Linked DNA regions of Macaca mulatta. The protein of the gene in region 1 interacts with the protein of each later gene in a biochemical or structural test. Links are inferred from orthologs where the notes say so. Each region holds a gene or a part of one and is shown on either strand. Other genes may lie near its edges.

Evidence for each region.
Region 2: the proteins of CFTR (region 1) and NHERF4 form a complex in vitro, tested with the Homo sapiens proteins (2 studies listed by BioGRID and IntAct, with this or other methods). The link is inferred for Macaca mulatta from reciprocal best matches to the Homo sapiens genes CFTR and NHERF4.

Annotation. Positions count from the first base shown.
Region 1 is NC_133408.1:157,139,846-157,156,279, reverse strand, and holds part of CFTR (cystic fibrosis transmembrane conductance regulator), read right to left. Parts: intron 16,022-16,434; coding exon 15,984-16,021; intron 15,805-15,983; exon of another isoform or gene 15,676-15,804; intron 15,298-15,675; coding exon 15,047-15,297; intron 12,167-15,046; coding exon 12,087-12,166; intron 8,769-12,086; coding exon 8,618-8,768; intron 7,709-8,617; coding exon 7,481-7,708; intron 4,544-7,480; coding exon 4,443-4,543; intron 1-4,442. UniProt on the Homo sapiens protein: Epithelial ion channel that plays an important role in the regulation of epithelial ion and water transport and fluid homeostasis. Mediates the transport of chloride ions across the cell membrane.
Region 2 is NC_133419.1:119,865,795-119,882,664, reverse strand, and holds NHERF4 (Na(+)/H(+) exchange regulatory cofactor NHE-RF4), read right to left. Parts: upstream 7,603-16,870; 5' UTR 7,528-7,602; coding exon 7,512-7,527; intron 7,101-7,511; coding exon 7,070-7,100; intron 6,931-7,069; coding exon 6,857-6,930; intron 6,543-6,856; coding exon 6,331-6,542; intron 5,741-6,330; coding exon 5,551-5,740; intron 5,439-5,550; coding exon 5,302-5,438; intron 5,063-5,301; coding exon 4,858-5,062; intron 4,648-4,857; coding exon 4,451-4,647; intron 4,363-4,450; coding exon 4,135-4,362; intron 3,998-4,134; coding exon 3,797-3,997; intron 3,540-3,796; coding exon 3,510-3,539; 3' UTR 3,053-3,509; downstream 1-3,052. Other genes in the region: DRC12 (dynein regulatory complex protein 12), read left to right, coding at 2,167-2,297, 2,556-2,702; NLRX1 (NLR family member X1), read right to left, coding at 9,578-9,899, 10,651-10,902, 11,741-11,827, 12,389-12,984.

The DNA.
Region 1 (16,434 bases):
ATTTAAGTTACATAACGCTTAAGTAGCTAAGAATAGGAGAAAGAGAAGACTTATGTTACTAAAAATTGAAGGCATCTTATGAGTCCGAAGAAAATAAACCAGCACACAACTTTCTTTTGGAGGAAAAAATATAAGATAATTGCTTTAGCAATAACAACTATAAATTCATATAGTATTTGAGGTATGGAGTTTTAAAAAATCAACACTTTTCTTTTCACCCCGTCTATAGAATGGTATGAGAAATACAATTGAAGTGAATAGAGATAGAAGCCACAATTTATGTTAAAATAAAGAGTGAATTATTAATAGAAATAAACACTTTTTAAAACATTGAGATATCAATTGAAATAACTGGAAATCCCCTAACATGGGGTGTTCCAACAGGAATTATTAAATTAGATTCTGATAATTTTACTATTTATTAAATTACAGGGGTGATTCACAAACTATTAAACTATATTATTCATAAAGTGACAATGTTCAGATGACTTTTTATCCAACCTGCCAAATAAGGCCAGACACATTAGTAAGTAGAATAGAAGCTTTGTCTTGTTTTAATAGTCTCCTGAGACCCTGGGTATATTTTAAGGAGATACTGAACAGAAACTCATGCCTTAAAATGTCAAGCCTACTGAAAGACATTCTGTAATTGTGTTTTATGAACATATGGTGGTGTCAAGATGAGAGCTGGATACACATTTAGAGAGCAGGGTAGAGGTCTAAACTAGAGATACGAATTTATGATTCATCAAGAGATGGTTTATTTTCTTTGTGTGTGTCTGTGTGATGGAGTCTCCTCTATCGCCCAGGCCAGAGTGCAGTGGCGCGATCTCGGCTCACTGCAACCTCCATCTCCCAGGTTCAAGCAATTCTCGTGCCTCAGCCTCTCTAGTAGCTGGGTGCATGCCACCATGGCCAGGTAATTTTTGTTATTTTTAGGAGAAATGGGGTTTCACCATGTTGGCCAGGCTGGTCTCAAACTCTTGACCTCAAGTGATCCACCTGCCTCGGCCTTCCAAGATTCATCAAGAGATGGTTTCTGAAGCATGGGTTTAGAAAATAACAGCTAGAGAGTGTCAGTAGAACAGGGCTGAGAGAAGGGGCCAGGAAAAGGGACCAAGGAGGAGCCAGAGAGGTAGAAGGAAAATGAAGCAAGAGAAGTGTCATGGAAGCAAGAGAGAAAGTATCACAAGAAGAACTTGTCCATGGCATAAATACTGCTGGAGCTGTTAAGGGAGACAAGGAAATTGGCTCTGACAAGATGTTGATCCTGAGTTATGGTGCTGATGGAAATAAAATGAAGTAGGTTGTGGAAAGAATGGGTTGAGGAAAACAATGAAATGAAAGTGGATTGAGAAAAAAATGGAAGTAGGTTGAGGAAAAGATGGAAAGTTGTCCTTTCTCAGATATTTTGCTATATATAGGTCAAAGAAACGGGATAGTAGCTGGAGATCAAGGGAAAGTATTTTTATGCTAATGAGAAAGGTCCCACGAAGAGGGAGGTATTGCATATTACTTGCTCCTGAATATAGGAGCAAGAACACCAGCAGAAGGTGGTGCATGAGGAGAGGTGCAGTAGGCTGGTGCAACCAGTGGAGAGAAACGAGAAAATTCTTTCTGGTTGCATCAAAAATTTTTTTTAAGTTTTTTTTTTTTTAAAAAGATATAATAAAGTCACTGGCTGAAAGTGCAGGAGTTGGAATTATTGGAGCACTTGAGATGGGAGAAGAAGGTGGGAAAAAGCTATCTTAGGGAATATAATAAGGAATTTAGTAGGAAAATCTAATAAAAAAGGTTGTTGTACAGTTTTGTGTACCAATATTTGAGATATGTGATCACAGACACAATGCAACTCGAGGTTAAATGTTATCAAAGCATTACCTTTATTAGTTGAGCGCTACAGAAAGCTAGGCACTTGGGCCTAAGCACCAGGTGGAAGGTTAAAAAAAAAAAAAGCCACACTGTCATTTTTATAACTTCAGAGTTATGTTGACATTTGACTTTGTGTTGTTGTCTAAACTAGGCCAGTTGGGTAAATAAACTATTCTTTCCAAGTATAAACATTTTTTTCTGAAAAAGTAGAAGTATACATCAAACTAAACACCTTGTTTACTCCATTGTAAACTCAACGCTAAATTCAGTTAACAACTCAGTAAGTAAAATGACAACACTGAGTTTTTACTTCAGAAGTCACAAGGACCTTTGGGATTAACATCATACAAACGTAAAATTTGAAGGCACAGTCATATCTATTTCCTACTCTCAACATATGCCAAGGTGAAAACAAAAAAGTTACTGTATACGTTTAGCAATGGCATGGGTAACAGCAGTATGATGGGAATCAATAACCAGATTAATGCCCATAAACATCCAGGAAAGCCTACTTGTGCTATTTGGCAGGGAAATAACTCACATATTAGCTTTGATATTCAAACAAAAGAATGTGATTTTTAAAATGTGATCAAGTGCAAATACTGATACTTTTCATAGACTGTATTATAACATAATAGGTCCTTGCAAAGATCCTTCAGTGCCACAAGATGAAAGGCACAATATCAAAGCACAGGTCACAAAGCCAGGATGCACATGTGAAAAACCAGAGGAATGAAAATGCCTTACAGAAACTTTCATGGAGATTGAACATGCAGAGTAGAAATGCACCAAACAGAGGTTTTGACATCAATGTGTAGAGGCTACTATGTAAACCAAGAAAATTAATACAGCAAAGAGAAAGGAATTGTATACATCCATGGTAAAAAGATGTTTTTAGGTAAAGAAACATGTAAGTGCATGAGGAGCTTAAATATAAAGTCAAAGTTGTAGAAGGTTGGGCAAAGAATTAAATAGATGTAAGCACAATATTCATTTAATATTCTCCTGCTGTTTTCCAACAGAAATATTTCTATACATTTATGAGACCCAACTCCAAAAGCATGCTGGAATGGAATTAAAGACAGAACTACAGAAGCTAAAAAGAGCTGATCAAACTAAAAAAAAAAAGTTAGAGGTAAAGAAACCAACTTTAGTATAAATCATGTTCCGATTAAATTACAGCTCAATGTGTTATGAAAATGCTTAAAGAAAAGAAGAAGACACATGGACCAGAAGAGAGCATTAAAAGGGTTTTCTTTTCCCTGGAGATATTTTTTATAATGCTCTTTGTTCTGACAGGAGTTGATCATACAAATTTTATAGCTAAATAACTGTGTGTGGTTTGGGAACACGAACACTGTCTCAGAGAACAAGGAAAGACACTTAAGCAAAAAGCATAATTTTAAAAAGAGTATAATAATAGTGTTGCACAGTCATTCTTAACTTGGGTTTCTAAGCCATCTACAAAAGCAGTGCTGAATGAATAATTTTAAATACAGTAGCATAAAAATACTTTAAAAATTCAATGATGAAGCTATCCAGACCAACCACATAGTCTGATTGAAAATTATGCATTTGGTTTTTTTAATAAAAATGGGTAAATGTGCATCATTTCCTTTAATTTCTCAGTCCTGCTGCAATGGGATTTGTGCCCCTGATATGGTATTAGCACACAAACATTACTATAATATTAATGGCTCTGCACTCTAGAAAACCAAAATGAGAGAAATAACACAACTAAAATGTGGTCTTTGTACACACTAATACAGTATACAAATGTGTGGCAATATTTAAATAATAGTATAAAAATGTTATGCTGCTAAATTTGAGAGCTCAAGATAAGGAAGGAATTCTTAATAAAGATATCAAAAGCATAAAACATAAAGGAAAAGACAATAAATTGAACTTTATTAAACTTAAAATCTTCTTTTCATCAAAAGACTCTATAAGCCAAGCCACTAACTGAGGGATTATGGTTGAAATGTATAGAACTGACAATCCATAACTCATAAATTCCTACAAATTAATTAAGGAAGAAAAAACAATCTAGGTGACAAATGAGTAATCAACATGAATAAGAAATTAATGTAAGAGAACAGCAAAAGCCAATAATTATGTATCCAGATGCCCTACATTTTTAGCAATCACTTCACATCTATCAGACACCAAGTGTTGTTGAAGATATGTAGCTATGAGAACTCTTGCACTCTCTTGATGGGGATATATGTCAGTACAACAGACCTGAGGACAATTTGGCACCACTCAGTTAAGCATGGGTGAATTCTATGACCCAGTAGTACAACTCCCAGGTATTGGTCCTAGAAAATCCTGAACAAGGAAACAGATGAAAGAATGCTCACTGCAGTATTAGATCTTTATAGTCGCTATCCATGAGGAGGAAAGAAGAGATAAGGATTTAATGAAAGATACACAGTGACCCTCAATTTATCTGTAATGTTTTATTTCTTAAGCTCAATATAGGGTATATAGTTCTTCCTCATGCTATTACTCATACTTTTTTACTTGTCTGAATTTTTTTCATTAAAGTTAAAAAGATGATAATGACTTACCAAGCTATCCACATCTATGCTGGAGTTTACAGCCCACTGCAATGTACTCATGATATTCATGGCTAAAGTCAGGATAATACCAACTGTTCCTTCTCCTTCTCCTATAGATGCACAAAAGACATAAATGAAACTCATGTTATTAAATTTACATTTCAATTTTATGCTGATTTTAACAATTTTTAAGTCTCAGTTCATCACAGCATTTACTAATAGAATAATGTTCTGCATATAGTAAGTATTCAACCAGGATTTTAAATCAAAGAGTGATAGAATATTAGGAAAGTGTTGCCCTTTTTAAAAAATGTTACTGATGTTGGAGGTGCTGTTGGTATTGGGTAGGTACCATATTTGTCTCTTCTACTATTATTCTCTAAGTAATAAGAGAACAAATATTAGAATGGGCAATGGGAAAATATCCTGTATCCAGATGAGCTCCTATACAAAGAAACCAAAAGCAGGGGAATAGTGTGTCCAAACAGCATCTGCATGCTTAGATGTTTAGATCTGCGCCTTTGCAAGGAGGACATTTGTTAATTGCATACTGTTGGGAAGTAAATGGACTTAGAACTTCACCCCACAGTCAGAAAACTAACAGGTCTGCCATTTGGAAAGAGAAAATAATACCCTCTATGTAAAAAAAAATAAAAAAAGAAAAAAAAAAGATTAGTGCACCTGGGAAGAATGATACTTAAGTGTTTAATTACAATACATTTTTTTTAAGGGCTAAAAAGGACCGCTAATTAAAACTCGTAAGTATTCAGTATTATGGCCATAAAAATTCTCTAAGAGGAATGTTCTTAAATTATTATAAAGTTAAACTATCAAGTCCCAATCAAGAGATCTTACACCTGTAATGCATGATAAAATTGTCAAAAGGTTCTACAGTTGGGAGAAATAATTTCTCTTATTATTAATTGAAATTTTTGTTTCTGCAATTCCTCTAACAGAAGGCATAATATACAGAGCATATATCTGTAGGTAATACTAAATTATTTTCATATAGGTTAGATTTATCTAGACCCCAATATATTGCTTGTTCTGAAGGTTAAGATGAGAAGATAAAATTTTAATAATAATAAGTCAGATAACATTTATTTAGTATTTACCATGGACCAGGCACTATACTAAGTGTTTTGGACAAATCATCCCATTTACTATTCACCCACACCTATGTAATAGGTAATATTATTGTGTCTATTTACACTTGAGGAAAATGAGGGGCTTAGAGAGCTAATTAACATTTTCAAGTTAACACAGCTGAAGACCAGTCGAGCCAGGGATAATAATAGCTGGGTGACCAACATCCACTCTGGCTGACCATCTGATTTGATGGGTAAGTTCTGTACTATAATGATTGTTAAATGTTTTGATTATTGCCCCTAATAAATCAAGACTCAATCACACTCAACCATGGTATAGCATGTGTTATATTGGTTTGAATTAATTGTTAACAAATCTTCATTTATGTAATTCAGCCTTCTTTGATCCCATTTTCAAATAACTTAAAAGAATTTTTTAAAGTTGCCTAAAATTGCAGTACTGATGAGGATTAGTACATTTGCCTGCCCATGTATATTCCTTCATAGAGTCATTTCCCACTGCCCTAGCTGTGAGAACAACAAAGGTGGCGAACCCACTATCCTCATAGCAGTGGAGTAGACTGCAGGTGGACCCCTGAGCCAAAAGGAACCTGTTTTCTGTTCTCTCCAGGACTTTGCAATTGTACAGAGGAGCTCTCCTGTTAATTCAGGAGGCCAGAATGGAGACACTACATAAAGTCAATGTTGCATAGCCCTGGTTCACCAGGAAAGCCAGTTAATTCAGGAGGCCAGAATGGAGACACTACATAAAGTCAATGTGGCATAGCCCTGATACACCAGGAAAACCAGTTGATTCAGGAGGCCAGAATGGAGACACTACATAAAGTCAATGTGGCATAGTTCTGGTACACCAGGAAAGCCAGTTAATTCAGGAGGCCAGAACAGAGACACTACATAAAGTCAGTGTGGCATAGCCCTGGTACACCAGGAAAACCAGTCTTCAGAGAGAGAAAGGAATGAAGCAGTCACAGAAAGGCATGGACCCAGGACAGATATAGACTCAAGAAGAAGAAGAGTTGCAGCTGACTCTCTTGTGCCTGTTCCAGCTTCTTTAAGAGTCAAATGGCACCACCTTCTCGTTGTTCCTTGAGGCCTTCCTGTAACTCCAACAAATGCCTGCTTCTGGTTTGAGCAGAATTCTGTTCCTACAATCAAATGATCTCCCAGATTTGGCATTGATTTGGCATTTACTCTGCCAATATTCACTGTCACATATAACAACTTACTTCAATACTTATCATAAATACTCAGAAATTCAAATTCTTAAATTAGAGAAAACAAATTTACCTACATACATTTTTATTTTACTTATTATGAAATACTTTGTTTTTCACTAAAGATCCTAAAATCAATCCAGAACATTTGTGTTTAAAACACATGGCACTTTCTTTTTTTTTTTTTTCTTTTGAAAAACATGAGTCTTCCTTTCTTTTCTGTGACAGTTTTACTTTGTGCAAAATTTGCAATTAGATAACAAATTTTACCTAGTGGAGATTTAAGAAACAAAACTTACCGACAAGGGGAACTGTGTGTGTGTGTGTGTGTGTGTGTGAATGCAGATGCTTCATTTCCCTTCTTTAGGGATCTATTAATTTTGAAGCTAGGACTCTTCATCAATATGAGTATGAAGAGGTGACATTTTTTCCCCTTCAATCACAGAATTGCTATCTGACAATCTGCGTGCCTTGGTTTTTAAAACTGTGAAAACAGGGATAATACCATATATATCCAACTTCAAGTAAATTATTTGTTCAACAATAAAACAATGGAAATTCAAAGAAATCATTTGTTCAATGATAAACCAACAAATTTGTTAATTATTAAACTCCAAAAAAACTCTAAAGATACCAAAAATTGATAACCTATAAGAATGCAGCATTTTATTCATTGACAAAGTTTTTACTAAATGCTTAGCTAAAATTAATCAGTTCATAGTACCTGTTGTTAAAATGGAAATGAAGGTAACAGCAATGAAGAAGATGACAAAAATCATTTCTATTCTCATTTGGAACCAGCGCAGTGTTGATAGGTACAAGAACCAGTTGGCAGTATGTAAATTCAGAGCTTTGTGGAACAGAGTTTCAAAGTAAGGCTGCCGTCCGAAGGCACGAAGTGTCCATAGTCCTTTTAAGCTTGTAACAAGATGAGTGAAAATTGGACTCCTGCCTGTGAAATATTTCCATAGAAAACATTGCAAATAACATAAACACAGAATGCAATTTCATAACACCATGTACCTGAAAAAGACTAAATTAGAGTAATCATATCGCAAATGTCATTGGTTAAAAAGATTTTTTCACACTGGTGCCATTCTTTGAATAGATGTGATTTGTTATTTTATTAATGAGCTACTCTCCTTTTTTACTTGGCTACTAGAGATGGGAACTTAAAAAATCACCACCAACATTTATTCCTTTTTCTTGGCTACCACTGGGAATTTTCTGGCTAATTCTAAATTAATTATCACTGAAAAAAATGTTAAGACAATTTTTTCAAGTATCTACATTAAGGAAGTTTATGTGACTTGATTTAGCTAATAACCTACAAAGCAGAAATACACTGAAAAATTATTGCCTGAAAATGTACCAACACTAAGGCTGTCACTGCAAAATGTGATTCCCTAACAGCTCAAGTAGAGTTTGGGGGAACATGAAATGGCAGCTCCAATACATGAAGGAAGGGTGTCCGAAGACAAAAAGTCAAAGGGACAAATTTGGTCAAGTATCATTTGGGAACCCAGAGAAACCTTTAGTAATAGCAGCACTATCATTTTTTAATTTAATTGATATAAGTTTATTATAAATGAATGTCCTGTACACCAACTGTGGTAAGATTCTATATACCCATTTTAAAACCAAAATGAAGTCACATGGCCGTTAATTAAGAAAAACAATCCATGTGTACTTTGTAATACAGTTTCCTTTTATAGACACATACATGTAGAAAAAAATTATTGTTATATGATGTGAAAGTTTAAAAACAGAATTTTTTTTGAAAAGTAGATTAACAATAAAGAATCTCAAATAGCTCTTGTAGCTTTTTTCCAAGATGAGTATCACACATTCACTGTCATACCTTCAGATTCCAGTTGTTTGAGTTGCTGTGAGGTTTGGAGAAAATATGCTCTCAACATAATAAAAGCCACTATCACTGGCACTGTTGCAACAAAGATGTAGGGTTGTAAAACCGCGACAACTGCTATAGCTCCAATCACAATTAATAACAACTGTGAGATCGAAGAAAACATGTTTGTGAGTAAACGTTTTCACATTGCAAAGTGGACAAAGTGTGTCAGTGATTTATTTCTAAATACTCTCCCCATTCTATTCCTAGTCGGAAAGTAACCATTTGCAAGTACATTTTTCATAGGCTCTATGAAAATTTTAAAAATTGTTCATGTCACTGATAACATTTTTGAAGTTTTGAAAACATGGTGTTCTTTGATCTTGGGATATTTTCATTTCCCAGGCACTTTAAAGTATTGTATGATAAATACATTTTAAGTGAATATTAATTTAACATAAACTTTTTAAATAATTTTAGTATGAAGGTAAATCTTAGGATTTATTTTGGTTAGACAGTTTTTGAAAGTTGGGCGTTCATCTTGGAGTCTTTTGATTCAGAAAGTTCTGCTTGAAATACAAGCTTGTCATTTAGGCAAGCTATCTAACCTTTTGGAGCATATTTTCTCATGCTTAACATTGAAATAAATCATACTTAATAAATTCCATATTTGTACATTACACCAAATACATACATTTTTAAAAGGTACAAAGTCTGCCAACACTTACTTCACAAAAACCCATTTGAATAAAGTATAAATAAAGTAACTGTCAGCAGAAAGGAAAAAAAATAAACACTTTATAACATCCATATGCTATTCAGTGAGGCAGTTCTCTACCAGTTTCCATAAGTGACACATGCATTTTCAACTGATATAACTTTAGAACTGAAAGGGACCATTATTAGGTTTATATTCCCCATTCTACAAGTGACAAACCTGAGACCCTTCAAGATAAGTGTCTGCTCAGGGTAAAATAGTGGGAATCTGTGGAAAATAACCCCGATTTTCAATTTTCACTATACAGTGCTCCAATCCAGAAAGCAAATTTGTCAGAACATTGTCAAAAGTTAGAAAATAGAATGAAGATTATATGAGATATCAAAATACTCAAACTCAAAGAAGCAAAGAACAGAACCATGGGCAACAGGACAGGGGATAGAGGGAAATGGGGAGTTACTAATCAACAGGTATAAAATTTCAGTAGTGCAAAATGAGTAAGTTCCAGAGATCTGCCATGCAACATTTTGCCCATGGTGAACAATATTGTATTTTACACATAAAAATCTGTTAAGAGGGTAAACCTCATGTTAAGTGGACTTGCCACAATAAAATTAAAAATTTTAAAAGAGAAAAGTAATAGAAAATAGAGTGAACAGAAATATTTTTTAAAAAGAAAACTTATAGGTATGCTTTATTTTGTGCAACAGATCTGCTTCTGAAATGTCATGAATAGAATTAAATTTTATTTGTCTGAAACTAAGTATAACTAGAGGTATAACACAATTAAGTATAATCAGAGGAGTTCACAATTTAAAGGACCCCTGTGATTAATCATTTAACAAAATCAAAATTAACCAAATTTGTACTGTATTTGGATTGTCGTATATTATGCTCTCTTAATATGAGACTCTCTTACAAATAAATTAGGTAAATTAATATAAAAGACCTCTGCTTAATCATCTGTGAAACAACAACAAATGAATCTTAGCATTAAAAGTTGAACCGGGCCAGGTGCAGTGGCTAACACCTGTAATTCCAGCACTTTACGAGGCTGAGGCAGGTGGCTCACTTGAGGTCAGGAGTTGAAGACCAGCCTGGCCAATGTGGTGAAATAATACAAAAATTAGCCAGGCATGGTGGTGGGCACCTGTAATCCCAGCTACTCTGGAGGCTGACACAAGAGAATTGCTTGAACCCAGGAGGCGGAGGTTGCATTGAGCCAAGATTGCACCACTGCACTCCAGCCTGGGCGACAGAGTGAGACTCCGTCTCAATTTAAAAACAAACAAACAAAAAACAAACACGTTGAGCAGAAGTGATTCAAATTGGCATAAAAGAAAAAATTTGAGAGCCATCACGTATGTCAAAAATGGTAATTTATAAAATGAATATTTAAAAATTAACTCTTACAGAGGAGTTCTGAAATGAGCCTCAAATAATTATCAAGAGGCACCATTGGCAAATACTTTCAAAATCAAGTCAAGAGGTTCACATTCCAATTTTTATCTGATGTAATAATATTATATTTGGGACAAGTTATTTACACTCTTAACATGAAAAACAAATGTCAGCATTTAGTGACACAGGACATGTTTCTTTGAATGCATGAATTCAAAGTATGGATTTAAATATTCCATCAGCTGCTTCTAAGTTATATCTTTAAACAGAACAACTGAAGGATATCCAAAATGCCAAAGTTCACTTGGAACAGTAAATATACTTGTGTCAATCATTTCAGATGAGGCTAACTGACAGTCTGATTTTTCTGCACCTGCCAATGTTGGTTATATATACACACTTACGTGATAATACTTCTTTTGTTTTATATGTTCAATCAAATACAGTATTATTATTTTGCAGGGGTGGGGAAAGAGCAAGAGGGGACAATGACTCATCCCAACATGGGCAGCATCCTATTCCAACTGTTTCTCCAGGGAGATCACTGAGACTGTGGTATTTGCTCTCTGGAGCTTGACCTAAACCAGTCAGGAAGCTCAGGAAGCTGTGCTCAAACCTGGTCCAACAACCACAGCTTACAACACTCCTTAAATCCTGTCACGTATGGAGACCTGATGTCCCAAGGTCACTTTCACCTCCTCCACTGCCCTTTTCTTCTCCACTCTCACCACCAGTCAGTCACCCCAACCCAAAGAGTCAGCCTTTGAGCCAGGCTTCCCTGGAGGCCTATTCACATCTATCACTCAGGGACAGCCCTCATAAAACCCTAGATTTTTCTTTCCCCTTTCTTTTGTTCAAAAACTTATCTTTGCTTCTCCCTCTTCCTTATGGTCCTTACTGTGGGGGAATGGGCTAGCTACTCTGTGCTAAAATGTTCACGGTGAGGCTAGTTTCAAGTGTAACCCACCCAGGGAATCCATCTTCATTCTAATACAGGCCTTTTGCGGGGAGGTTGGCTTCCATAAAATAGCGATGCCAATGCCAAAATGTCACACTTTGCGGCCAGTGATCTGGGGAAAGATAGCCCTTTGTGCCTCTCAAATCACTCCCAAGTAGACAGCTATTACATCTAAATGTGGGATTGCCTCAGGTCTGGGCCAGATAAACAGTTCTGACTTGTTATTGAATTTACTAAACTTACGTCTATTTTGAAGGCTTTGGATAATCACAAAATTAATTCAATAGACAGGACTTCAACTCTCAATCAAATAAAAATTGAAAACGAAATTGCATTTGCTTTTGTTATTATTTAAAAAACAACATGGCAAATAGACATACTTAACAGTACTTATTTTTACATACCTGGATGAAGTCAAATATGGTAAGAGGCAGAAGATCATCCAAAATTGCTATATCTTTGGAGAATCTATTAAGAATCCCACCTATAATATACAAGATGACAAATTCCTCAAAAGATATATCAATATATTCAATACTAAATTTGGATCACAGTAGACTCATTCATAACCCAAATAAGAATTAGCATGTAATCAGATAAAGACTTAGAAAATTTTGTTTCTTTCCAAACATTCTAAATAATTATATGTTCAAGTTATTGTCTTGTACTTTTAAACGTTTTAAAAAGTTTCAGATTCCTGTAAGATTCAAGTAACAACCAATGTCTTTGAAATAGATTTTACTATAAATTATGTTAGGAATAGGTGGGTATTCATCCTGCTATTACAATCTTATTTTTGCAACCTTGCATTTAATGACAACTTACTCAATACGCTGTCACCATCTCCTCCATTTGTATTCCATAACATAGGGGTCTCCTTTTCCTCTGACTTCCATACCTTTTTGACATACCTCTACCAAAACCCTGGCTGCTCTCTCTCCCTGCCTGCCCCACTGTCTGGTCCTCCCTTGTCATACTCTCTTTCTACCCTCTTCATGGACAATCTACATTTCAACCTGTCATCTGAATCATGGATTCACATTTGTAAGGTTGATAACTTGTTGCTTCAATTTAAAAAGGTTATATACAAGTGTCTACTATGTACCAGGCACAATACTAGGCACTGAAATAACTGAGGTGAATAAGCCATGCTCCTTGTCCTTGAGAAATTCATTGTCTAGACAGGAATTAAACAAACAATTTGATAAAATGTAACATAATACTGTACAAATAAAGTGATATTGAATCTTATCATTTACCCCCCATAAACTGCAGGATAAAGTCCAAAATTCCTAGTTTAATATTTAATGCCTTGCATAATTTGGCCTCAACCCACCTACTTAGTACAAGCTTCCTCTGCTCAAATATCCTGTTTCAGCCAAACTGGTCTATTCTTTAAACACACTCTACACTTTCCTACCTCCCTGCTTTCCCCATGTGGTTCCCTCCATCTGAAACCCCTTTCCCCTCAGCTCTCATTGTCAAAATCTGTTTCCTCCCTTGCTCAACTCAAATGCCCCTGCTGCAAGAAAACATCAGTGTTTTCTCCAGCTGGGATTAATCTCTTCCTCTGGATATACTTAATACATCTTGTTTGCACCTCTGTTATAATGACTATATGCATGTCTTATATCACAGGAACTTATAAACATATCTTAACTCTTTTTCTAGGTTATAAATTGCAAAAGGTCAATGGGATCATGCCACACTTATTTTGTATCACCCATAGCCCCAAGAAAAAAGGCCTTATATGTAGGAATTATTTAATACATATTTATTAATACATTCTTTGGCATATTTAATTAAATATATTTGTATCTTTCCATGATAATCAAAAATTGAAAAAATAGCCATTGGTATTTATAAACAGTGTTTAGAAAATGAAATTTGCTTTGGTGGAAAGAAAAAACCATCCTGGTGCTTATTATATTTCAAATGGTTTGGAACCAACTATGAACAGCATTAAAGGGAAACAGGAGCTTGGAAAAGAAGAGGTGGAATGGCCAGTGCACCCTCTGTGGGAACAACACCCCACAGAAGGGAACCACGGGGAACTTATATTGATTTCCCACTGGCTATGTAGCAGGCAAGTAAATTGCCTTGTTTCATTCTCACAAAGATCCTCTGAAATATTCTTTTCCCCACTTAACAGGTGAGGAGGCCAAGGCTCAGGAGAGTCACTTGCCCATGATCACTGCTCTTATAGCGCCAACTCAGAGCTCAGGCAATGCTCATGTTCTTTCCACTGTGCCACATGGCTCATGTCTGACTCTTCTAGAAATGTGCGAGAAATCCCCTGCCTGCTCTGGGTCTCAGATTTCCATAAAAAATAAAATCAATGGATCAATTAATTGGACATCTTGAGTCTAAAATTCTTAGCTCCAAAACAGAGGATGGTGATGAGTATATCCAAATGAGGCAAGATTTCAGCAAGACACATGGGCTTCAGAATAAATATCAAGATCTTCCTACATACTATAACACTGAAATTTTGTCATCCAGAAAATATGATGGGTTTTTCTTATCTTGAGTTTTTAGATTTCTGAAAATTTTAGTCTTGGAATTTATTCCTTGCTTTATATCAAATGTTTCTGTGTCAATTCCTCCTCTCACCTGTGACCTCCTCCAGGGCAAGAACTGTGACTTATTCATCTTTTCATATCACAGAGTAAATGCCTCAACAGAGAAAGTGCTCTCAGGTTGCTGTGAAAAAACTTGGGGGAATCCTTATTAACCTCAGTCTTTCAGTGCAAATTTGTCTAATGAGGAATCAACAGAATTGATTTCTTCCAAAGTATCTTATTAGTTTTTAAAATTTTTAGTATCTTTATTTTACTACTCTGACTTTCTATTACTTCAAATATGATAATACAAAAATAGTTTTAAAATACATTTGGGATCCCCTCTACCATATAACTTTGAGCAGTTACATGAAATTAGATTATTCTACCCCATCAAAAGACTTAATCAATACAAAAAAACATATTTTCTTTGATCACTTTAAGTTTCCTGCCCTTTTGAACAATATTATATATTGGCAACAAGATGCCCAGAAGAGAGCTAGACCAAGTATTTGAAAAGAGAGGTATGACTGACCCATAAGGGCCTTCTTGTGCTGCTACAGTCCCACCAACATCACATTCTTACAAACCTAGCTACTCTAATTATCTAACACAGAAATATTAGGAGCAACAACATATGATAACCTATAATATCTGAGAAATGTGCATGCTAGTCAAAAGGAGGTTCAACAAAGGACAGATGCCTCTGTGCAAAAGCCAGCACTGCCATTAGAAAACCAACGAAACCACAGGCCCTATTGATGGTGGATCAGCAGTTTCATTTCTTAGTCCTAGTAAAGTACCTGCTTTCAACGTGTTGAGGGTTGACATAGGTGCTTGAAGAACAGAATGTAACATTTTGTGGTGTAAAATTTTCGACACTGTGATTAGAGTATGCACCAGTGGTAGACCTCTGAAGAATCCCATAGCAAGCAAAGTGTCGGCTACTCCCACGTAAATGTAAAACACATAATACGAACTGGTTCTGGTGATAATCACTGCATAGCTGTTATTTCTACTATAAGTACTATTCCCTTTGTCTTGAGGAGGAGTGCTGTAAAGCAAAAGGGAAATTGTTATTTGGCAGCCAAACTTACTAATTGAATTTCCAATACATGTAAATGGAACTAAATTTGAGTCTAAAGAAATACAATATATTGCATTAGAAGAGTGTGCACCCTTAATCTCAAAATCTTACTATTATTGCAAGAAAATAGATATGTTTTCTCATTATTGACAGAGATTGAGTTGTTCTTTATTAAATTAAAACATTTGAAGAAAACTGTAAAAGTGTAATGTTATTTCAAATATTTTTATTGTGTTTCACAGAAACTGAACAGAACTATATTCTTTAGAAACTGCAGGAACTGTACATGCTCACAATTTATTCATTTTATTTTATTTTATTTTATTTTATTTTATTTTATTTTAGATATAGGATCTTGCTATATTGTCCAGGCTGGAGTGCAGTGGCTATTCACAGTGATAGAACACTACAGCCCTGAGCTCCTGGGCTCAAGTGATCCTCTTGCGTCAGTCTGTGGAGGAGCTAGGACTACAGGTATGTGTCACCTTACCCAACTAATGGTCATCCTTTAAACAAAAAACCTTATTTTTCCACTACCATAATGCTTGGGAGAAATGAAACAAAGTAGATTACAATACATACAAACAGTGATTTACAATATTTAATCAACAGAAATAAAACACAATCTACACAATAGGACATGGAATACTCACTTTCCAAGGAACCACAGCACAACCAAAGAAGCAGCCACCTGGAATGGAACAAGAAAACAGTTGATTTTTTTCTAACATCTTCACCTAAATTCACATCGCACCATTTGATGTGTGTACCAATATCAATGTACACACAATTTCATCTTCCTTTGCTTTGTGTTCCTGGGTCCAGCAGCTGTAATAGTTGTTCTAAGTACTATTATTTGGATGAGAACACATTAAGTTAACGGAATTCAAATTTCACTGCAGTAAATTCTTTGCCATTTATCTCCTTTATTCAATGGAAACGACTGAACCTCACAAGAAAGCCAAGATCACAGCTGAATGTTTTAAATAATAAACATTTTTTAAAGAAACTAATCTCAGCCTGCTGGCAGATAATTAATCTGTTTATTTGCTATAAATAATTTCATTTGCCATTCAATGATTATAGGGGACTAATACCTGTGAA
Region 2 (16,870 bases), on another chromosome or scaffold:
ACCCTCCACCATCGAGGACTGGAGCAGAGGGTTCGGGATGCCAAGAATCTCTGTTGTAAGTAAAGAAGAGGTGCCAGGCGCAGTGGCTCAGGCCTGTAATCCCAGCACTATGGGAGGCCAAGGCGGGCGGATCGCCTGAGGTCAGGAGTTCGAGAACAGCCTGGCCAAATGGCGAAACCCTGTCTCTACTAAAAATATAAAAATTAGCCAGATGTGGTGGCGCACACCTGTAATCCTAGCTACTCGGGAGGCTGAGGCAGGAGAATTGCTTGAATCCGGGAGGCAGAGGTTGCAGTGAGCCGAGATCGCGCCATTGCACTCCAGCCTGGGCGACAGAGCAACTCTGTCTCAAAAAAATAAATAAAAATAAAAAAGAAGAGGTAGGCGTCACACCCCATTTCCTCCTCTCCAAGTCCAGCCCTACCTAACTCCCCACCACTGCCATGTCTCTTGTGAGCAAAACATATTCCCTTTTAGTTTAGCTGATTTCTACAACGAAACTAAGGGAAAATGTTTGACTTATTTACTTACAAGACCTAGCACCCGGTAGGTCCTAAATAACTGTTCACTAAATAAATGAATAAACACTCCCAATAAGCAAAAATATTTTTAAAAACTAGGAAGCCATTGCTTCTCTTCTCTTGCCTCCTGCTTACAAAATAATGTTGAAATATCTCAGCATGACACATGAGCTCTTGCACAATTTTGGTCCCAAAGTGTTCATACCTTAAAAATGCCTTCAGCCGGGCTCAGTGGCTCACCCCTGTAATCCCAGCACTTTGGGAGGCCAAGGCGAGAGGATTGCTTGAGGCCAGGAGTTCGAGACCAGCCTGGCCAATATGGTGAAATGCCGTCTCTACTAAAATTACAAAAATTAGCCGGGCATGGTGGCATGTGCCTGTAATCTCAGATACTTGGGAAGCTGAGTCAGAAGAATCACTTGAATCCAGGACGCGGAGGCTGCAGTGAGCCGAGATCGCACCACTGCACTCCAGCCTGGGTGACAGAGTAAGACTCCGACCAAAAAAAAAAAAAAAAGCCTTTGGTTTAGCTATAGATGGCCAGGAGCTGCTTATCTGCCATTCAGACCCTGGGTTCCTTTCCTAATCTTTGCTTTACCTCAAATTCCAAGTCAATCAATAACTCAATTGTTTTTGTTGTTGTTGTTGTTTTTTGTTTTTGTTTTGTTTTGTTTTGTTTTTTTGAGACGCAGTTTCGTTCTGGTTGCTCAGGCTGGAGTGCAATGGCGCAATCTCGGCTGACAGCAACCTCTGCCTCCCAGATTCAAGCCATTCTCCTGCCTCAGCCTCCCGAGTAGCTGGGATTACAGATGTGTGCCACCATGCCTGGCTAATTTTTGTATTTTTAGTAGAGATGGGAGTTTCACCATGTTGGCCAGGACTCCTGATCTCAGGTAATCCGCCCTCCCCGGCCTCCCATAGTGCTAGGATTACAGGCGTGAGCCATCACACCCGGCCAATGAATCAATGTTTACGGAGCACTTCCTGTATACTAGCTAGGTGCTTTGTCATCCATCATCGTGTTTAAAGGTCACAGCATACCCCTGAGAGATGTGTCATTCTCTCTTTAAAGATGAAGACACCAGCTAGCTGCGGTGGCTCACGCCTGTAATCCCAGCACTCTGGGAGGCTGAGGTGGGCGGATCACGAGGTCAAGAGATAGGGACCATCCTGGCCAACATGGTGAAACCCTGTCTCTAATAAAAATTAAAAAATTAGCTGGGCGTGGTGGCATGTGCCTGTAGTCCCAGCTACTCAGGAGGCTGAGGCAAGAGAATTGCTTGAACCCAGGAGGCGGCGGTTGCAGTGAGCCGAGATCATGCCACTGCACTCCAGTCTGGTGACAGAGTGAGACTCCATCTAAATAAATAAATAATAAATAAAAAGATGAAGACACTGAGGCTCAGAAAGAGACATGTCTGTGGTCACCTAGGTAGTAATCCGACTTTGGAGCCTTCTGTCTCAAGCCCACCATTCTCTGCTACACCTCAGTGGAGCTTCAGCTTTTACAGGGACTGCAGGAAAGTTGGTGATGCTGGGGGAGTCTGGAATGAGCCCATTCAAGGTCTCCTTTCCAGATACCTTTGGAGACTGGTCAAGGATAGAGTGTCACCATCCTGCTGTCTTTCATCCTGCCTGCCCCCAGAGGCATGCCAAAAGGAAGCTGCGGCTGCCCGGGAAGAGGCTGAACAAGCTCTAAGAGAGCGGGACCAGGCCCTGTCTCAGCTTCGGACCCACGTGGCAGACATGGAGGCAAAGTATGAGGAAATCTTACAGGTAAGCACCACCTCCTGGATCCCAGTCATCCCAGTACCCAGGACTCCCCCATGCCCACAAACCCCAGCTAGTGTGATGACTGACAACCCAGGGGTAAGGAGAAGAAGTATCTCCAAGGGAGCCCCGCTCTATCCTGAGGGCAGAGAGGGGATACAACCATGTCTACTGGGCAAGGAAAGCTTACAAACCAACCTGGGGCAGCCCTCACTCCTTCCCTGTCTCTTCCTGGGGGCTGAAATATTGATGTCTGCAGGACAGTCTGGACAGGCTCTTGGCCAAGCTGAGAGCCATCAAGTCACAGTGGGATGGGACGGCATTGAGACTCCATGCCAGGCACAAGGAGCAGCTACGCCAGTTTGGACTCACCGCCCTGGATCTTTGAGGCCATCAGCCCCTAGTCTCTAGTGTTCTCTGAGGCGCCAGCAATAAAGTGTCTTGATGTAGAACTCAGTAGAGCTGTGGGCTCTGGCCTTTTGGCAGAGAGGAGTGGATCTTTTTTATTTTTATTTTTATTTAGTTTTCTTCTTTTGTTGTTTTTTTCTTTTGTTTTGTTTATTTTTAGGAGTGGCTCTCATGCAGACATCTCAGTTCTGGGTTGACCCATTATCCCTGAGACTCAGTGATAGGAAAGAAATTTGACCAGGTCTCACCTTTTCTCCTGCAGAAGCCGCATCCCACCCCTTGAGCCTGAGGCCCTTTTGGTCCCTTCACACCACTGCCCCTTACCCCCACCAACACAAACACAGGCAGTCAGATTTATGGGGAACGGCCACTTCTATAACAAATGCAACGGTGACCAAGCACCACCCTCCGGCAATGCTGAGGCACCCACAGAAGACAGGCATAGCTGGTCTCCACATTTTTGCATTACACTCAAGTGTCCTGGAGTCATATCTAGAAAAGGTCCAGATGGCTTCAATCCTAGCCAGACCCACAGCCACACCTTCATCCCTGGGACACAGCTCTCCAAACTCCCATATGACATCCTCTGGAGCCTCAGACTCCTTCAGGAACCTGCCTGAGGCCTCCATCCACACCCTCTGCTAGAAGGTGGGCCTGCAGGAAGTGGGGGAGCACCTGGGCCAGCCTGTGATCGGTGGTGCCTGAGTTCCTCCAGTCTGGCTTAGAGAGAGCAATCCTGCCTCCACCACCTCGGGCTGGAGAGTGAAGACACAGTAGCCCCTGAGTATGTCTGTACCAAGCAGAGGTGCTCTACAGCAGATCCGAGGCCAGAGCCCAGTCCTGTGCAGAGAGAGGAGGTAGAAGGTCATTCCAGGTGGCACCCAGAAGAGTTCCTTTTTCTTTCTCACCCCTGCCCTGCAATGCCCAGGAATGGGGCTTATTTCACGGGTCCTTCTGTCCCCACCTACCACAACCTGAAGTCCCAACCTGCATACCCCACACTGCTTCACCTTGTACCTCGCCCACTCTGCCCTTCTTTCTCACTCCTCCCTGCCCTCTGTAACTACTCACAGTCCCATCCGTTTCTTCTTCCTCACCTCTGCAGCCCCAGTGGGAATCCAGGCTTCCAAGCCCCGCAGAGACCTGGCTGCCAGCTTCAGGCAGAGGGGTGGCTCAGCCTCAGGCAGCTGCTGAAGCCTCTCCAGGTCATTCTCTCCCCCAACAGGATACCCATTCACTTCCAGAATCACATCTCCCACTTGCAGCCCAGCCCGGGCAGCTGAGCCTCCGGGAGTCACCTGGTGGTGTGGGGGCATGCAGAACAGGGGACACCAGGGGAAAGTTTGCTGGCTTAAGGCTCTGGGAGGGAAGAAGAGGAAGACTGATCAGGCAGCAAAGGATTGAAGGGATCCAAGATGCATGGGGCATCAGTCACCTGGGAGATGAAGAGACGAGGCCCACTGGCCACACAGCTGAGTCGGAAGCCATAGCCGCCACCAGGCCCAGGGTACAGAAAGCACTGTCGGGAGCCCAGAGGGACAGAAGGCACGCCTGTGTCTTCAAGCGAAGGGACCTCTGTCTCAACCAGTGAGGCTGAGCTGCTGCCCTGGGGAGAGGCGGGAGCCTCTGTGTTCTCCAAGAAGAGGAGTGGGGATAGGCGAACCTGGAAGGTGGCAGGTAGAGCAAATCTGTTGGACCCAAGCCCTGCTCCACTCCTGCCCCAACCCTAGCCCCTGCCCCTCAGCACGCACCATGCTGAAGAAGCGGTCAGCCTCAGGGTCGACGACAATGAGGGAGACACAGGAGCCCTGCGCCTGGATCCTGGACACTGTCTCCTCATGGCCCAGCCCCTCCACGCTCTCCCCAGCCACAGCCACCAGCCGGTCCCCAGCCTGCATCCCAGCCTTCTTGGCTGGCAGTCCCGGGTCCACTTCCCACAGGAACTGTCCTGGGGCATACACATCCTCACTGCTCCCCTCCAGCTATCCTAGGCCACTGTGTGCACACCAGGGGACTGACCCCGGAGTGAACAGGAAGAGGCGGCCCAGGGCCAGAGCTCAGACAGGGACACCTCTTCTGTGCACTGAAAGGTGTATATACACTTGTGTGCCCACCCCAAGGCCCACCTTCCCCCACCACCCCCAGGGCTCCTACTCACCAGGGCGACCGTCAGGGCCCTTTTCCTCCCGGAGCAGGAACCCAAAACCCTGGGGCCCTTTCTCTAGGTGCAGACAGCGGGGCTTGTTGGGCAGTGCCCAGCCCTCTGCCAGGGGTGCAGCCAGGGGCAATCCCAGCTGGCGACACTGTTCCTCCACCTCTGGCCCTGCCACCAGCAAGGTCACCTGCTGTCCACTCTGCCAAAGCTGTGGGGACCCAGCAGGGCATCAGTATAACACCTGGGCAGGGAGAGAAGAGGCATGCTCCCCCCACAGCCCCTCCTCCCAGGCACTAAGTGGAGCCTGGCACAAACTGTAGAGGGGCAGGATGGTGATCAAGGTAGGAGACCAGATAAGGAGGTTAGGTGCATAGGGGAGGAGGCGTCTTCCCGAGGTGGGGCCCAGGCCCAGACTGGGGGAGGAGAGTGGGAGACAGGCAGCCACACCTTCCTGGTGAGTTGGTTGTGAGTGAGCTTCTCCACACTGACCCCATTCACTTCCAGCAGTCGGGCCCCGGGGGGCACCCCTGCCCGCTCAGCTGCTCCTCCAGTACTTAGCACCAACCAGAAAGGACCCTGATTGCCTAGAAATCAAAAAAAAAAAAAAAAAAAAAAGTTCCAGTCTGTTGCCTGCCTGCCCTGAACAGGGACTGAAATCCCTCATCCTTGCCACCCCCTCGCACCCTCTGGGCTCACCATGGGTGACGCCGAAGCCAAAACCACCCTCATCTTTCACTATGTGGCACAGCCGAGGCCGGACCCCTGGGCCTAGGGTGGGACAGAGGTGGGCATCTTCTCCCAGCTGGGCTCGGGCCACGTCATGTGCATGCCGTGCCAAGACTGTCAGCAACACCCGAGGACCGCTGGCCCGGATGCGGCGTACCACCTGGACAGAGGGCACGTGGGCGTGGGTTTGGTCTAGACCCTCTTGCCAACCCCCAGGACCTCCCTGGAATCCACATTTTTTTGCCATGGGAATAGGCTTTTTTTCTTTCTTTTCTTTTCTTTTCTTTTTTTTTTTTTTTTTGAGATGGAGTTTTGCTCTTGTTGCCCAGGCTGGAGTGCAATGGCACAATCTCGGCTCACTGCAACCTCCGCCTCCCAGGTTCAAGTGATTCTCCTGCCTCAGCCTCCCGAGTAGCTGCGAGTACAGGCGCCACCACCACGCTCAGCTAATTGCTGTATTTTTAGTAGAGACAAGGTCTTGCCATGTTGCCCAGGCTGGCCTTGAACTCCTGACCTTGGGTGATCCACCCGCCTCGGCCTCCCAAAGTGCTGGGATTACAGGCATGAGCCACTGCGCCCAGTGGGAATCAGCTTTCTAGATGCTTTCCCCAACCCCTCTGACTTGGGCACTCCTAAATCCTGGGGTGTAGGGGAGTGAGGCTTGTGCCTTGCTGCCATAGTGCCCAGGGGACTGAGCAACCCGCTTCTCTTTCTGAGGTGCTAGCATGCTCTCCCGGACCACAGCCTTACCACCGCGTAGTCTTCGTGTTCCACAACATCGTTGTTCACCGCCAGGATCCTGTCTCCTTCCTGAAGACCCTGGCGCTGGGCAGAGGTGCCTGGGTCCACCCTGCACACCACATGCCCAGCCCTGCCCAGCTCCTGCTGCAGGTGGAAGCCAAAACTCTTGCCCTTCTCTTTGCTCAGCAAGCAGAAGCGAGGCCGCTCCAGGCTCCAGGGATCTGGAGGGTGAGGTGGGCAGCAGAAAAGGGGGAGGAGAGGGCACAGCCCAAGTACAGGTTCACCATGTGCCTGGCAGACCCTGTGTCCTGATACAAGCAGTTTCTGCCTGGTTGGGTGTTGGGTGGTGGGGTGAACACTTCATGGGCAGAGGGACTGGGACAGGAGAATACGCCTGGCCCCTCCTATCTCTACTCCCAACCAAGGCTGTTATCAGAGGGAGACTGAGTGAGTGGTTACCAAGGAGATGGGAGGCTGTGTGGAGTTGTGGTGCCTCCAGGGAAAGGGAATGGTTGTCAGTGGGTGAGGGAGTTACCAGAGGGGTCGTGGTCTTCGGCCAGTGAGAGGACAGGATTATCAATGCCCAGCTTTGGGTTAAACTTAAACTTCCTGCAAGGAGGCAGGGGAAGCAGGTACAAGCTGGCAGCTGGACTTGGGTCCCAGGATCTCCTTTAGGTGCTAATGGCAGTGAAGCGCTTCCCTGCCTCCGATTCTTTCTTCCCCTTGCCCCAACCCTCATGGCACTTACAGAGTTAACGAGGCTGCGTCCTGCAGATCTACTGGGCAAAGAAGTGGGTGAGAGGAGGAGAGTCACATTCTTCTCCCCAGATGTGCCTCTTCCATTGGCATAAACTAAAAGGACTCAGGGGAACCCCCAAACTCAGGGCATGCCCCCTCCATTCTGCTCCAAAAGGGTCTTCTCTTCTCACTGCCATACGCACAGGAATATTGTGCGGTCCTCTCCCTTCCCCTCCCCCCAAGTCCTTGGCACATAAATCTGAGCATATCAGTACAGGGTGTGGACCAGAAAGACAGACATATCAACTCACTACTTTTCTCCTGACTTGTTTACCTGCCTCAGGGCTCCAAGCCCCAAAATCAAGTGTGCCCTGGTCCCAAAGCTTCAGCCTCCAAGTCGGCCCCCTGCCTGTCCCAAAGTCCCCTGCAGAGGATTTCTCCTGGCCTCCTACCTGCAGCTTTCTCCATAGCCGGATCAGCAACCCAGTGCTGGGGTAGGGACAAGGTTCATCCAGCCGCTGACCCTCCCACCCATCCCCTCCCAGGTCCCGCCTCCTTGAAGACGCTGTGGAAGCAGTGGGGTAATGGTTAACGGCAGTGAGAGTCTTTTTTTTTTTTTTTTTTTTTTTTTTGAGACAGAGATTAGCTCTTGTTGCCCAAGCTGGAGTGCAATGGCACAATCTTGGCTCATCACAACCTCTGCCTCCCAGGTTCAAGCAATTCTCCTGCCTCAGCCTCCTCAGTAGCTGGGATTACAGGCATGTGCCACCACACCCTGCTAATTTTGTATTTTTAATAGAGATGGGGTTTCTCCGTATTTGTCAGGCTGGTCTCAAACTCCCAACCTCAGGTGATCTGCCCGCCTCGGCCTCCCAAAGTGCTGGGATTACAGGCGTGAGCCACCATGCCCCGCTTAGTCTTATTCTCTGGGAAAGTGTGAGTTCATACTGACTCTATCCTGGGCCCGAGATTTTTCTGGAGACCCTGAATCTGACCCCGTTGCCCCTCTGTGCAGAGAAAGGCATATTGCTGGTCACTAACTCCAAGCCTGGGGGGTAAGTGTGAAAAGGGTGATAAGAATTCTATGGCCCATGGTATGGTTTGGCTGTGTCCCTACCCAAATCTCATCTTGAATTGCAGCTCCCATAACTCCCTCGTGTCATGGGAGGTACCCGGTGGGAGGTAATTGAATCACAGGGGCAGGTTTTCCTGTGCTGTTTTCATGAGAGTGAATAAGTCTCATGAGATCTGATGGTTTTATAAAGGGGAGTTCCCCAGCACACACTCTCTTGCCTGCTGCCATGTAAGATGTGACTTTGCTCCTCATGTGCCTTCTGCCACAATTGTGAGGCCTCCCCAGCCATGTGGAACTGTGAGTCAATTAAACCTCTTTCCTTTATAATTTTTTTTTTTTTTTTGACAGAGTTTCACTCTTGTTTCCCAGGCTGGAGTGCAGTGGCGCTATCTCAGCTCACTGCGACCTCCACCTCCTGGGTTCAAGCGATTCTCTTGCTTTAGCCTCTCGAGTAGCAGGGATTACAGGCATGCGCCACCACACCCAGCTAATTTTGTATTTTTAGTAGAGACAAGGTTTCTCCATGTTGGTCAGGCTGGTCTCAAACTCCTGACCTCAGGTGATCCGCCCACCTCAGCCTCCCAAAGTGCTGGGATTATGGGCGTGAGCCACCATGCCCAGCCTCCTTTATAAATTACTTACCCCGTCTTGTGTATGTCTTCATTAGCAGTGTGAGATCGGAATAATACAGTCCAGCATGGCCAAACCCCATGCCAGTATCTTGTTCATGGGCCCCTCCAGCCTCCACTGCCTCTGAACCTAGTGCCCAAGAACCACGTGCAATAGATCATGGTTGGTAGTTTAACCAGAAAGACCAAGAAGAGTGCCCGTCCTGGAAGCACCAGGCAATAAAGAAGAGGTCACAATCGGTGGAAGGCACACAGCTTTTTAATAGCAGCAAGTCAGGTGCATCTGCCTCGCGGGGCCACCAAGCCATCGTACCACTGTGGCAAAGGGGGCATGAGGATGAGGAGAAAGCACCAATGCGAGGGCACCCTCAGTGTCCACAGGTGAGCATAAGTCATGAGGGGAAGTTTCCAACACATCTGGATGGCAACACCCCTGGCATGGCAGACATAAGATGTGAGCCCCTTGGTGGCACAATCAGAGGCTCCTTGAGAGGAGGGGGAGGCAAGGTTGGTGGTGGTGCTTCAGGGCACTCTGGCCATCCAAATGCCACATGCTTTGGTCCTTCTTGATGAATGGAGAGGAGGCATGTTCCATCTCCAAGCCCGAAGCATTGATTCACCATCTTTAACTTGGAGATTCCAGACTCGGTCCTGATCGAACATGCCCTAGGAGGGCAACTGGCACAGCTGTGCCCATTCCTTTGCCCCCAGACCTGAAGGAATCTTTCTAGGGGGAGCAGTGCAAGCCAGGAGGCCACAGAGGGAAGAGGTTTAGGGCCAGTGGTCACATAGTTAGGTGCCTGCCGCCAGTGTCTCAGCTTCCAGAGCCTCCCAGCTGCTCTAGGAGGCCCCTCACCTCGCCCTCCACTCGCAGCAGCTGGGCCTTGCGCCAAGGATTAAGGGTAGCACCCCGGCTATCTTCCAGATCCCGCAGGAGGAGCTCAAGGTGTCGCTGGACCCGGGCCCGGTCCCAGCTGTTGAGGTTCCGCTGGACTTCGCTGAGGATCACTGACCAGTATTCCGACACCGCCGTCCCCTCTGTCAGTGACACCACCACCCGGGCACCACCTTCAGCAGCACCCCCCAAGTCTCGCAAGACCTGGCGGCCCTCTGAGCTCAGCTCATTGAAGTAGAGGCTGGCAGGAGAGAGAAAGTCGATGCCATTCAGTAGAGCTCTGAGAAGGAGGGCCCGAGGGTAGACAGATGGAAAGCAGGGGGCCTCACATCTCATCTCCTGGCTGCAGAGTGCGATCAGGTAAGTATCTGCAATGAGCCAGAGATGGAGGGTGCTGGCCAGTGGGAAGCAGGGACTAATATTAAAATTCTTTTTTTTTTTTTTTTTTTTTGAGACAGAGTCTCGCTCTGTCACCCAGGCTGGAGTGCAGTGGCATGATCTCGGCTTACCGCAACCTCCACCTCCCGGGTTCAAGCGATTCTCCTGCCTCAGCCTCCCAAGCAGCTGGGATTACAGGTGCGCACCAACATGCCCAGATAATTTTTGTATGTTTAGTAGAGACAGGGTTTCACCATGTTGACCAGGCTGGTCTTGAACTCCTGACCTCAGGCGATGCGCCTGCCTCGGCCTCCCAAAGTGCTGGGATTACAGACATGAGCCACCGCACCTGATCCTGATACTAGAATTCAGTGGGACCAGGGACAGTAGGCCTTTAGGAGAAATGGTGGTAGGGAACTGGGGCAGTTTAAGGGCCAGTCACAGAGCGGGTGGGTTGACTCAGAGCTAGGTTGACAAGGATCAGTCAGAAACCAGGAATAGAGGACAGGTGACAGGCCCAGGCCCAGAAGCACTCCCTAGGATTGGAAGAGCACAGTCGAGAGATGGAAGTAGTCTGAAGGGCTGGGGGCAATGGGACCAGGGACAGGACTCACTGCAGCAGTTCCAGGGAAGGGTGCTCCCGGGCAGCTCTGGCCAGGGCCAGGGCCGCTGTGTCACCAGCACCATTGTAAGCCACGTTCAGCTCCTGCAGCTGCCGGTTGCGATCCAGCTGGGCAGCCAGCAGCTCCAGACCTTCGTCCCCAAGGCCGGTGTGCAGCAGGGACAGGTGTGTCACTGAGGTGTTTCCTGCCAGCCCCTCCATCAGCAGGGCAACACCTGCCGCCATCAGCGGGTTGTTGGACAGCCTACGGCCACGTGCAACCCAAGGTTATGAGGGCCCATTGAGAGGAGGGGGAGGCAAGGTTGCTGGTGGTGCTGGCAGCCTTGATGGGGCAGCGCGCTGTGCTGGGTGTCAGGACGTGGGCCAAAGAGGGCCCTGCTTGGGGCAAGAGGAGCCTGGACATAGAAATGCAGGCCCAGGAGAAAGGGTAGAGCAATAGGGGGTGTGGTGCCTGGCAGAGGAGGGAGAGTAGGGGAGCTGGCCTTTCCTTCCCTCTTCCCCCGACCCCCTTCTTATCTATTCCCTTCCTCCTCACCATTTCTGTTTCCCTTCTTCTGCCTTTTTCACCCCCTCCACAGCCTCTGCTTCTCCCTTCCCTCTGACTCCTGTATCCTTCTCCCTGTTCTTCCTTTTTCTCTCCTCATTTGCCTCCCCTTACACCAACCAGAAACTCGGAACCCAGGTGCTCGGGTTCCCCATGTATCAGTCAACACTTCAGGGGTGTCTACTGAGTGCCCAGCATTAGGGTCATCCTCAGGAAGCTGCAGGAAAAATCCTGGAAGGGGATCAGTGGCACTGTTACCAGGCAACTGGCCTAGGTATTATTCCACCCTCTCTCCCTGCCTCCCCCAGGCTGTTTTTAGCCACGTGAGAGGTTTCTTAGCACCCATTACAGGTGGCATCTTTCCCTGCTGCCCCGCTGCTTGCAGTAGACCTAGGGGAAGTGGAGGGGACCAGTCAGGGCCTAGACCCACCTCCATTTACTATCCCTTGGACGGGCCTGTGCCAAGTATGCCAGGAGGCAGGGAACTCACCCTTGACCTTAGCTGGCCACCAGGATGCCCCACTCCCAGGGCACTCACCGCAGTGTGGTAATTTGGCACTGGTCATGTAGCAGCAGGTCTCGGAGGTCCTTGCAGGCCTCAGGGCCCAGGCTGTTGAGTTGCAAGCTGGAGCAGAAGGTGGCCAGAGGGGAGGTGAGAGACCAGGGAGGGAATTCAGCAAGCAGTCTGTCCATCTACCATGACCTTTTTTCATCAGCCTGCCTCTGGGAATCCATACCTGCCTCCCCTTTTTTGAGAGACAGGGTCTCACTCTGTCACCCAGGTTGGAGCACAATGGCATGATCACAACTCACTGCAGCCTCAGACACCTGGGCTCAAGCAATCCTCCCATCTCAGCCTCCTGAGTAGCTGGGATGATAGCCACATGCCACCACACCTGACTAATTTTTAAATTCTTTTGTAGAGACAGGGTCTTGCTATGTTGCCCAGGATGGTCTCAAACTACTAGGCTCAAGTGATGCTTCTGCCTTGTCTTCCCAAAGCAGTGGGATTACAAGCAGGAGCCACCAGGGCTGGCTCCTCCCTTCTGCTGCTCCTGTCTCCTCCGCCCAAACTAGATTTCTTCATCTGGTCATTCATCAGTACCTCTGGTTTCCCTGGCACTTTCTCTTCCCACTGCTTCACCTCCAACCCTCTTCATGCCTGTGCATGAGGATAGGTCCTTACCCCAGTTTCCGGGCACGCAGTAAGACAGGCATGAGTGTGCGCAGCCCAGCAGGGTCTAGCTGGCAGGAGGCCAAATTCACCTCATCCAGGGCATGCCTTCCGCTGCCCAGCACAGATGCCACCACTGTGCACTTGACGGGTGTCATACGCACACCTGCCAAGTTGAGCTGACGAAGGGAGCTGAGCACCTCGGCGGAGAAGCGCTGGTTCTGGAACTCGTAGTGGAAGAAGAGGTGGTCAAGGAGCTCCGACGGGGGTAGCACCTGCCGGCCCAGCTTGCCCAGCTTCTTCTTGATGGCCTGGGCATTCTCCAGGGCATCCAGGTTCTTGATGGGGCAGCCAAGCTGAGCTAGCACAGCTCGGTTGTGGGCAGAGAGAAGCCCCCCCATGAATATGGGGAAGAGCTCGAAGACTTCATCCTCAGGAGGCTCATCTGGGTGGCGCCGGGGGCCCTCCACGCCTAGGATACTGGCGCCCATCTGGTCCAGAACATCATCATTGTAATAGTCCTCCTCTCGGAACATCTCCAGCACCATGGCCTGGGCCACCGCCTCCCGGCTTTTACCCACCATGCGCCCAAACACTCGTGGAACCACCTGAAAAAGAAGCAGGGGAGGGTCACTGTGGCCTTCCACATGCCTGTTCAGCCTTCAAGGCTCAGCTTAAGGTACACCCCTGTGACTGCTCCAGCCCTGTGGTCTCCCCGTGAACTTAGCATAATTTGTCTGATCATGCTACTCCCCTGCTGCGACACCTTCCACTGCCTATGTGGCAAACTCCAAACATTTAGCCTGGAATATGAAATGATTTTTAAAACTAGAGATGGGGTCTTGCTGTGTCACCTAAGCTGGTCTTGAACTCCTGGGCTCCCTAGCCTAGGCCCCCAAAGTGCTAGGATTATAGGCATAAGCCACTGCACCCGGCCCAAAACTTTTAATAATTTGGCCCTAATTTGACTTTCCCAGGGTCATATCTCAACACCTGTCTCATGTGCTGCAGACATTAGGAACTTCTTTCTCTTTCCCAAACACCCTGATACATTTTCAAACCCAGGAGGTGGTAAGAAGGAATTAGCATGTATTACACACTTAGTTTGGGACCAGGCTAGGTGTCACAAATACATCACCATCTTCAACATCATTGTTGTCTCAGCAGCTACGATTGATGCAGCTCCTACTGCTTTAAGGTCTTGTGTGATCTGGGCCCTGCCAACTACAATGCCTTCATCACAAGCCTCTTGGCCCCACTCACTATGCTCCTGCCTTTTTGGCTTTTTTCATCTTAACAGTGCCAAGGTCAGGCCGGGCGCGGTGGCTCAAGCCTGTAATCCCAGCACTTTGGGAGGCCGAGACGGGCGGATCATGAGGTCAGGAGATCAAGACCATCCTGGCTAACACGGTGAAACCCCATCTCTAATAAAAAATACAAAAAACTAGCCGGGCGTGGTGGCGGCGCCTGTAGTCCCAGCTACTCGGGAGGCTGAGGCAGGAGAATGGCGTAAACCCGGGAGGCGGAGCTTGCAGTGAGCCGAGATCGCGCCACTGCACTCCAGCCTGGGTGACAGAGTGAGACTCCGTCTCAACAAAAAAAACAAAAAAAACAAAAAAAAACAAAAAACAACAACAACAAAAAAACCAAACAAAAAAAAAACACAGTGCCAAGGTCTTTCCTCCTTCAAAGCCTCCATAGGCCCGGTGCAGTGGCTCATGCCTGTAATCCCAGCACTTAGGGAGGTCGAAGCAGGAGGATCACTTGAGCCCGGGAGTTCTAGACCAGCCTGGCCAATATAGCCAGACACTATCTCTATCGAAAAAAAATTTTTTTTTTTGAGACAGAGTTTCGCTCTGTCGCCCAGGCTGGAGTGCAGTGGCGCAATCTCTGCTCACTGCAAGCTCTGCCTCCTGGGTTCACGCCATTCTCCTAACTCAGCCTCCTGAGCAGCTGGGACTACAGGCGCCCGCCACCATGCCCAGCTAAGTTTTTGTATTTTTAGTGGAGACGGGGTTTCACCGTGTTAGCCAGGATGGTCTCGACCTCCTGACCTCGTGATCTACCCACCTCGGCCTCCCAAAGTGCTGGGATTATAGGCGTGAGCCACTGCACCCGGCAAAAAAATTTTTTAATAAAAAAAAAAATTAGCCAGGCATGGTGGCATGTGCCTGTAGTCCCTTCAGCACTGGAGGTCGGGGATGCAGTGAGCTGAGATCACACCACTGAACTCCAGCCTGGGCAACAGAGCAAGACCCTGTCTCAGAGAAAAATAAAAAAATCCTCCAGGGTGCTGCCCCTTCCTGGGGCATTTCCCCCCAACTTCTTCCCTTGGCTAATGCTACAAGGGTCAGATGACATGCCCTTCCACAAAGAGACTCTCCTGACCCCTCAAACCAGTTCCCCCACTACACACTTTCATGGCATCTGGGGCTCCTTTCCAGGCATTTGCCGTAATTTTTCCTTATATGGTTACATCGATATTTTTGTGCTGAAACTGCAGGAAGCAGCAGTTTCCTTCTGGGAGAGGAGCTCCGACTAGATCAGAAAGGGCAGAAGCCTGTAGTTTCCTCAGATTCTAACACACTGCCTGGCACACAGCAGGTACTCAAATATCTGACAAAGAAATAAATGTTGGGGGTTTGTGATATCTTCCCCCATCCCTGCAATGGTAGTGAAAGGGAAGAAGGGTCATTCCTCTGGCAACAAACCATGACATTGTTTTGTGGCACCACCTTTAACGTCTGGGTTTTTTTTCACTTTTTGATTTTTTATTTGTTTAGAGACAGGGTCTTGCTATGTCACCCAGGCTGGAGTGCAGTGGTGTGATCCTAGCTCACTGCAGTCTTTAACTCTTGGGCTCAAGTGATTCTCCTGCCTTGGCCTCCTGAGAGCTGTGACTACAGGTGTGCACCACTGCACCTGGCTATGTTTCATGTTTACATGTGAGGTTCCTTTCATAGAGGTGATAGTACCCCTTCTCCAACACTAACCTGTGACAGAATATGTCACCCTGTGAAGCTGAATCCACAGGATTGTGAATAAACAGATGGGCTCAGTGCTCTGCCAGGGCAGCCCTCCCTCCAAGAGGGCTTGGGGGTGTGGGGCTGACAATTCTTGTGGGTTTTCAATAACTGGGGGCTTTCTGAATCCCCTCGGGAGACTGCATCCTCTCGTTGCAACTCAGGTCCAGCAGGCACATCCTCAAGGCGGGGTGGCCTCAGCAGCAGCTGTGACCTCCTATCAGAGGTGATGGTGTGAGAAGGAGTGGGCTGCACGAGCCTGTTTCTTTTCTTTCTTTTTTTTTTTGAGACAGAGTATCGCTGTGTTACCTAGACTGGAGTACAGTGGCGCGATCTCGGCTCACTGCAACCTCCACTTCCTGGGCTCAAGAGATTCTCCTGCCTCAGCCTCCCAAGTAGCTGGGATTACAGACACGTGCCACCACACCCAGCTAATTTTTGTATTTTTAGTAGAAATGGGGTTTCACCATGTTGTCCAGGCTGGTCTCAAACTAAGTTTGTTTCTATGTGTGACAAACAAACAGCCTAGGCCGGGCGTGGTGGCTCACTCCTGTAATCCCGCACTTTGGGAGGCTGAGGTGGGTGGATCACCTGAGGTCAGGAGTTCAAGACCAGTCTGGCCAACATGGTGAAACCCTGTCTCTACTAAAAATACAAAAATTAGGCCGGGCGCGGTGGCTCAAGCCTGTAATCCCAGCACTTTGGGAGGCTGAGACGGGCGGATCACTAGGTCAGGAGATCGAGACCATCCTGGCGAACACGGTGAAACCCCGTCTCTACTAAAAAATACAAAAAACTAGCCGGGCGAGGCGGCGGGCGCCTGTAGTCCCAGCTACTCGGGAGGCTGAGGCAGGAGAATGGCGTAAACCCGGGGGGCGGAGCTTGCAGTGAGCTGAGATCCGGCCACTGCACTCCAGCCCGGGCGACAGAGCCAGACTCCGTCTCAAAAAAAAAAAAAAAAAAAAAAAAAAAAAAATTAGCCAGGCATGGTGGCAGGTGCCTGTAGTCCCAGCTACTCGGGAGGCTGAGCCGGAAGAATCACTTAAACCAAGTGAGCAGAGATGGTGCCACTGTACTCCAGCCTGGGCGACAGAGTGAGACTCCATCTCAAAAAAACAAAAGCAAAAAAAAAAAAAGCAATTAAATAGCACTTACCATGTGCCAGACCCTGAGGATGAGTTCCTTTAATCTTCATGCTAGGCCAGTGATATGAGTTCTAGTATTATCTCCATTTCACAGATGAGGAATCTGAGGCACAGAGTTAAGTAACCTGTCCAAGATCTCACAGCTAATTAAGTAGCAGAGCCTGGATTTGAACTCAAATAGCTGAGTTACCAAATTCCTGTGCTTAGTCCTTATGCTTTGGTGCCTATAAAAAGAAAAAGGTGGCTGGGAACACTGGTTCACACCTGTAGCCCAGCACTTTGGGAGGCCAAAGTGAGAAGATCACTAATGAGACCCCATCTCTACA